Linked DNA regions of Oryza sativa Japonica Group. Each later gene encodes a partner of the first gene's protein in a complex. Links are inferred from orthologs where the notes say so. Each region holds a gene or a part of one and is shown in the gene's direction. Other genes may lie near its edges.

The links.
Region 2: the proteins of ferredoxin-thioredoxin reductase, variable chain (region 1) and ferredoxin-thioredoxin reductase catalytic chain, chloroplastic are in contact, whole or in part, in a crystal structure (PDB 7C3F), measured with the Arabidopsis thaliana proteins. The link is inferred for Oryza sativa Japonica Group from reciprocal best matches to the Arabidopsis thaliana genes FTRA2 and AT2G04700. Residues at the interface, in NP_568195.1 of Arabidopsis thaliana: Leu116, Lys117, Val118, Tyr119, His120, Val140, Trp143, Lys146, Lys147, Ile148, Ser149, Ala150, Asn151, Leu152, Phe171, Thr172, His173, Leu174, Lys175, Glu178; in NP_001323778.1 of Arabidopsis thaliana: Arg88, His89, Tyr90, Asp92, Ala95, Glu96, Gly98, Gln99, Phe101, Trp102, Val107, Pro108, Arg110, Glu111, Arg112, Lys113.

The regions. Positions count from the first base shown.
Region 1 is NC_089038.1:26,933,873-26,936,726, reverse strand, and holds ferredoxin-thioredoxin reductase, variable chain, read left to right. Parts: upstream 1-1,222; 5' UTR 1,223-1,335; coding exon 1,336-1,830; 3' UTR 1,831-2,094; downstream 2,095-2,854. UniProt on the Arabidopsis thaliana protein: Variable subunit of the ferredoxin-thioredoxin reductase (FTR), which catalyzes the two-electron reduction of thioredoxins by the electrons provided by reduced ferredoxin.
Region 2 is NC_089043.1:8,137,145-8,141,629, forward strand, and holds the start of ferredoxin-thioredoxin reductase catalytic chain, chloroplastic, read left to right. Parts: upstream 1-1,519; 5' UTR 1,520-1,684; intron 1,685-2,063; 5' UTR 2,064-2,085; coding exon 2,086-2,170; intron 2,171-2,250; coding exon 2,251-2,378; intron 2,379-4,464; coding exon 4,465-4,485. UniProt on the Arabidopsis thaliana protein: Catalytic subunit of the ferredoxin-thioredoxin reductase (FTR), which catalyzes the two-electron reduction of thioredoxins by the electrons provided by reduced ferredoxin.

The DNA.
Region 1 (2,854 bases):
ATTTTGGTATTTGCATAGTATGGGGATCGTTAGTACTAGGATATATGCGAGATTGTAGTAAAAGAGATGGAGACGAGGATTTTTATACAGGTTTGGGCCCCTGAATTGTCAGGTAATAACCCTACATCATGTTGGCCGAAGCCGGTATTACTCTTATTCACCATAATCACACCAGTACAATATTTGGGGTAGCTTATCTAACTGTTGTCGACATGGCGGTCTGAAGGTCTGACTCGTAGTCGACAACAGGGTAGTCTTCCTCCTCGAATCCGTGCCCGGCGAGATCAGAGATAGCGCTTTCGTCTCTCCTGACAGTATCCGGAGACACCGTAGGGGACTAGTCGTGCTTATCCCTGAAGTCGATATCCGGCGTCTTGTCTTGGCGTATGTTGACTTGTATTGGCTTTGTGGCTTTGTGGCGTCTATGTTGTCCGTGTCCCCTCTCCTCCCAGGGGGCCTTGTATTTATACCCATAGGTGTCCTCTTATCCAAGTAGAACTAGGGAAACCAATATGGATACAATCCGAGTAGTCCTTGTCGTTTCCATATAGAACTCTAGTCATCATTCCTTATACGGAACTCCTCCTATATCCGAAGGTTGTTTCCGTATAACACATGGTATGTGGTGGATCATGTTGAGATTTAGTCAACTACTATTAGGTATGTGGTATCTATAACCCTGACAAGGCCCAAATTTAAATACAACATATAAACACCCAAAGTTGTGATTGAAATACCAAAAGATAATAAAGATTATTGGAAGACGAATCTAGACTCTATATAGGAATATAATTTAGAAATAACTAAAATTTGATATTAAAAATAACTAATAACTATCATGTATGTACAATACAATTTGAATATTCCACATTACTAGTTTGGTAAAGTGAGTACAAAATTTAAAATTATTGTCATTTTAATATATTTTAATAATAAAATAAGAAATATATATATATATATATATATATATATATATATATATATATATATATATATATATATATATATATATATATATATATATATATATATATATATATATATATATATGCTATTATATAAGAGAAATATAAGAATGCTAGCCACCATGCTAGTGTTAAAGAAAAGGGGATCAGATTATTGCAAATTTGAATACAATTTGCTAGAAAAAAAATCTTAATCTCAAGGATGCATGAAATTCGGCTTCTTTAAACTGGTTGGCTCGGAGGACCAAATGACCCTTGGGATGGTCGCAGGTCAGTGTAGACATCCACCTCGCCAATCGCCATCCACCCCCAACCTTCAGCTGGCTCGGCAATCGGCATCTCTTATCCTCACGTGCGCACCACCTGCTCGATGAAATTCCCCACACGGCCACCAACCGTGCCGATGGCACCCGCCACCGCCACCGCCGTGGCGTCCCCCTCCACCTCCTCCCGGCTCCTACACCGCAGCCTCCTCTCGCCAACACCCACGGCCGCTCGCTGCCTCCGGCCGCCGCTGTGCCGCGGGCGCCTCCGCACCGTTCGCCAGGTTGTCGCCAACGGCGACGTCTCCTCGCCGTCCTCGGACGTGGCCGCCGAGGAGTCCGCGGCGGCCCCCAAGATCGGCAAGCGCGTGCGCGTCACGGCGCCGGTACGCGTCCACCACGTCTCCAAGGCGCCGGACCTGGACATCTGTGGCATGGAGGGTGTGGTCAAGCAGTACGTCGGCATCTGGAAGGGCAAACGCATCACGGCCAATCTCCCCTTCAAGGTGGAGTTCGAGCTCAGGGTGGATGGGCAGGACAAACCGGTCCGGTTCTTCGCCCACCTTCGAGAGGACGAATTCGAGCTCGTCGAAGACGAATAGCTGAATAGGTCTCTTTTACAGAATAATGTGCTCTCGTCGTCTGCAGTCTGCAGATGCAGTATCTGTATATTAGAAGAGAAGATTGAAGAGGGTGCGAGGAGATCGCAAGTAAGTTGTTGTTTGTTTACTTGTCGCGTGCTCTTCCTCACTCTTTTGTAGTTCTGTTAAACACCAACATTTTGAGATTTGAGAAACTGAGAACGGTTCGGATTATGACAATTATGAATGAAAGTGGTTATACTGATGGTTCTGTTGTTGGCTGTATTCAGTAGTATTTTTTCCAGTTATCTTTTCAAGAGAATTCGCTGCTTATAAGAATATGTTACTCATCAGGATGGAAATCAATCTCTCTGACTAGCGTAACCTTTTAGCATTTGATTGGAATATCGGATCGTATTTATCTATTGGTCTGTTCACTTGAACATTTATCCCACAGTCCCAATTTCAATTGTTATGAGCTTATTTAGTTGCTGCAGTAATAGCATTGAGAACTTGGCTCAGGGTTGCTAGCCAACTAAACTAGACATGTTAATTCTTAGTAGCACAATTGGTTTCTCAAGACCTCGGTTATTGTTGGTGGCTCGGTTTACTCCACAAACTAGTAAATTACCAGTAGTGTTCACCAGGATTTTACCGTAGGCTTGTTTCGTCCCTCTGCCCATCAAATGTGGCCTTGCTGAGTTAGCCTTCCATGTTTCCAATTGAGTTACATGGTTTGAAATGTATTCACTGTTCTGGTTGAATTCCCTTGAATCTTGATCTGTCGAGTGAGAGCCATGCTTTAGGTTTGGCCTGTGCACATACATATTTGGACCTGACCAAACATAGATGGCACATGAACTGGATTGTGGAGGGTATTTAAGCTACTGTAGTTTGCCTCAACTTTAGACCTTGTGATTAGGTCCTGTGTGAAGGTAAAGTGCACATAGTTATTTATAGCACATGTTGGTGGTGATTCTCTCCAGATATATTACACCAGGTCATTAATGCTGGAAAACTTACTTATGTGGATATACTTTCTCCT
Region 2 (4,485 bases), on another chromosome or scaffold:
GAAGAGGGGAGCACGGGGGTGCTTTATATAGCGCGAGGGAGCAACGGGGAGGCCGGGGAGTGGCGAATTTGGGGCGGTAACGGCCGGCGACGTGGAGGTCAACATGCGCGGAGTGGGGACTCGATTTGGCGCCGAAAATTGGGGAAAAGTGGGGGATTTGGTGGAGGAGGTGGTGGGGAACCGATTTCATGCGGTTCAGGCGCGAGGGCGCAGGCGGGAGGACCCGGAATTGGCGGCGACGTGGGCGGCAACGACCGTCCATGGCGGCTTCTGCCTGGGAAGCCGAAGGTAGAGGAAGAGCCTGACAGGTGGGGTCGCCGGGCCCACCTGTCGGGGAGGGAGAGAGGGAGGAGAAGCCGGGGGTTATTTAGACTTTGCGCGAGGGGAAGGGGAAACGGGCCGACGGCCCAAGAGAGGAGAGGGGAGGCCGGGGAGGAAGGGAGAGAGGCGCGCGGGCCGCGGGAGAGAAAGGGGGATTGGGCCGGGAGTGGCCCAAAAGGGAGAGAGGAGGTTTTTAATTTGTTTTTCATTTTATTTAATTGGTTAAATGAACTTTGTACTATTCAAATTATTTCTCGAGCTCCGAAAATTCGCGGGAAATTTCAGAGAGTATTTTAAGGCACAAAGAATATTACAAAATATTCTCGGCCAATAATTTTTAAAGGAAATTTTTAATTCCCTCAATAATTCACTTGATTAAATTGCTTTAAATTTTATTTAATTTCTAGAAAATACATTATTTAATGATTTTTAATCCCGAACAAAAATCGGGGCGTTACATAGGTGCTAAATTTGGGTGTAAACAGCTGTCACATTGAATGTTTGAACACATGCATGGAGTATTAAATGTAGGAAAAAAAACCTAATTACACAGAATTGCATATAAATTGCGAGACGAATCTTTTAAATCTAATTGCGGCATGATTTGACAATGTGGTGCTACAGTAACATTTGCTAATGACGGATTAATTAGGCTTAATAAATTCGTCTCGCAGTTTCCTGATGAAATCTTTAATTTGTTTTATTATTAGATTACGTTTAATACTTTAAATGTGTGTCTGTATATCTTATGTGACAACCAAACCCAAAAATTTTCCCCAACTAAGGGCCTGTTCACTTTGATGTCATTTTTAACCTTACCAAGTTTTAGTAAAGTTACCAAAAAAAAAGTGGTTACATTTAGTTTGCTGCCAAATTTTGATAACTATATAAGAAATCCTGCTAAAATTTTGGCAAGTTACCAAAATTTAATATTTTTTTGGCATCAAAGTGAACATGCCTAAACCGATGTTCAACTTTTGCAAAAAAAAAAAAAAACCCTTCATCATCAGAGAAGTTTATTCAAAACACCCCTATACTTTCCGAAAATATAAGGACAAATCAAGTTTCGCAAGACTATGATCTAAAAACGTGAGAGAACGAGGTCGTTCTCGCGAAAAAGGCAAACACTCCACCACGTCTCCAGTTCTCCACCACTCCCAGTTTACCGGCTCTCCTCTCCTCTCCACGCCCCTCCTCCTTTCATTCCCCATCCTCCTCTCTCTCTCTCTCTCTCGCTCCCTCCCTCCCGCGCGTGCCGCCGCCGCCGCCGCCGCCACCGCCCGCCCCCCTCGTCCGCCGCGCGCGCGTGCCGACGAGGAGTTCTCCTCACTCCCTCTCAGCCCCTCCCAATCCGAGAAGCAGGGTATGTATGCACATGTGCTCTCCTCTTCCTCCCTATGTTTTTTTCTCGATCTATTTCTGTCGGGGGGTTTGATTTAGTTAGGGATGGCGCTCCATCGTACCTGCTTGCTAGTTGCTATCGTGTTGGGAGGTGAGGTGATGTTATCGTGTTGGTCATCGTCAGCGCTGCGCCTCCCCAAGTTTTTAATTTAGGTTCCCTTTTGAAGAGGTGTTGAGGATCATTACATCTAAACATACCATTAGTATAATTACATCGCAACCCAGTAGTATTAGAAAGGGTATGTATAACCCACATAATTTTTGCAACTACAAGATGTTTCTTAAGAGTGATCAATGAGCAACATTAGTTTTTTACAACATACACCTTTGTCATCTCGCAGATCGGTGGGCTGCTGTCCAGCAATGATGTCGATGGCCTCCACCACCGCCAGCCCCTTTTGCCCTTCACCCATGCCCAGAGGACGCAAATGCACAGTTCGAGTTCAAGGTATCCGTCTACTCAATCTATGCAGTACTCTGTAATCTGATCGATTTCTGATTTCTTTTGCTTAATTTGGGGGTACACAGCTGGAGCTGCCGGAGCGGATGCATCTGATAAGTCGCTCGAGATTATGCGCAAATTCTCTGAGCAGTACGCCCGCCGCTCCAACACCTTCTTCTGTTCCGAGAAGTCCGTCACCGCCGTTGTTATCAAGGTAATGGAACCAAATCTATTTTCTACTTCTCTCTTGAATCCTCGTTAAACTTTACTTTTAAAAAAATCTCACTGCGTGCACATACAAATCAAATACTAGCAAAAATCATCTTAGCCACAAACAAATTCTTCTATGCTGCTATTTCATGTGTTCTGTACCTGCAGCTTGATAAGAAGATTATTACGCCCTATTGCTGCTGTTGAAAGTTGATGCAGTAGGCTTCAATCTTAGGTAGAAGAGAACCTGCCAGTATGCCCCTGATTTTCCATTGGTTAGCAAGGCCTTCCATACACCTCATTGGTTCAACACGCTAAGTTAACACACAGTTTTAAGTATCCTAGGTTGCATTGATGTAGAAGGTGAGTGCTGCGTACTGCCTGAGATTTTCAGAGCACAAAAGGAACTTTGAATGCAACATGTATTTCTTTCCCAGTGCTGTTTGGGATATGAAACAACTAGAGCAGAAACAGTGAAGCATGCCAGCTGAATGCTGATTACTGAACTAAAATGTATATGAAGAGTGTATTCACAGCAATCTCTTCATGAAAAAAAATAGAAAACCCAAGTCCAACATAATAAAAGGCATATATTTGAGCCCCATCCTCTAGATAATCAATCATATTACTGCATTGTCTAAGTGCCCAAATCTCAAAATAGTTTACCATTCCCAGGTAAAGTTTGACAGCATCTCCCTGTTAAATTACATTGCTAGAATAGAGACATAAATAATAGCAAATGGTATTTCCTCTGATAACTGCCAAAGGAGAAGAAATCAACAATTGCCCAAACATGAGTAAGAAAAGAGTACTCCAATTGATAGTCCGAAATCGTGGATCTCAAGCAGCGAGGAATAATTACCTCAGATGGTGACAAATCCGTGAGTAGAAAACAGATCAAGGCGATTGCTATGATACAAGGTCTATATACGAATAGATGATATGGTTGGTTGAGTTGTTGGAGGTGGGTATACATGCATTTTAAATCATGGATAATCTTTTTGTTGGTTGCATAGTGGATCTCTTTATGCCTTTTGAGTTGACAGTTCGTATTGTAGGATCATATGTAACTCAAAAATCGTGTTTTAACTTTTCTGCATAGTATTTGGGCTATTGGATGATTAAGGTCATACCTGGGATCTGTTCTGGTGGGATCCTATGAGTATTACTAGAATGAGTTTTATGACCATGTAGTTTTTGTCTAGACTAGGAGTCCTCATGTACCTGTTACTTTTGATTTGCCTACAATCTCAATGGAGTATTTAAGTCATATTTTGCTAAGATGTATCAAGGTTAAACAAAAAGGAAATTTGTTCTCACATTAGAGCTTTTCTTCTAATCTCATACAGCTAGCATCGAGAAAACAATATTACATTGATTTATTGCCTCATGTGCCTACTCTGTGGACTGAGACCTTGATATTCTTGAACTGTTGTTATCCGTTGGTACATAATTTCTTTTCGCTTTCATTGCAGTGACTGATTTGGTACATTGCGGACACTGAGTCACTAACAAGACTAAGTAGTTGTGTGTTGACCATGGAAATCATACCTGTAACTTGGTCAAAGACACAGCCGATCATCAGACAGTGTTTGGGTATGGGCGAGAAGGTCAAAAAAGTTATGAGTGTTATGTAGGATTTTCTTGTCAGTGACACTCCAAGGGGTTAGTAAACTGGTGAATGCTTAGAGGGCATGATTAAGCTCTTGCATTGTGGCCATAGTGTCAATTGAGGGGAACAAATGATCCATCAATGTTGTAAACCAGCAAGCCAATGTATAAAGGACATGGTAAATGAGCGCAAATGATAATAAAAGGGAATCACAATCTACCACTATTCACAATCCCTTTAGCTAACTCTTGGAACCACTGGGGCCATTCCTTGATACCAACTGATAAAACTCCATCAGCTTGACAATCAGCTCCTCTACTCTGGTTTAATCACAGGAGAGAAGTCATCTTGTTTTTATTTTAATATAAACTGTGGACTGTTGTCATTGTTCCAGCCCTTTCTTGGTAAAAAGTATAAAATTAAGGATTGCCTTCTGTGTCTTCTTGATTCTGAATAGCAACTAAAAATATTTTTGCAGGGACTTGCTGATCACAAGGAT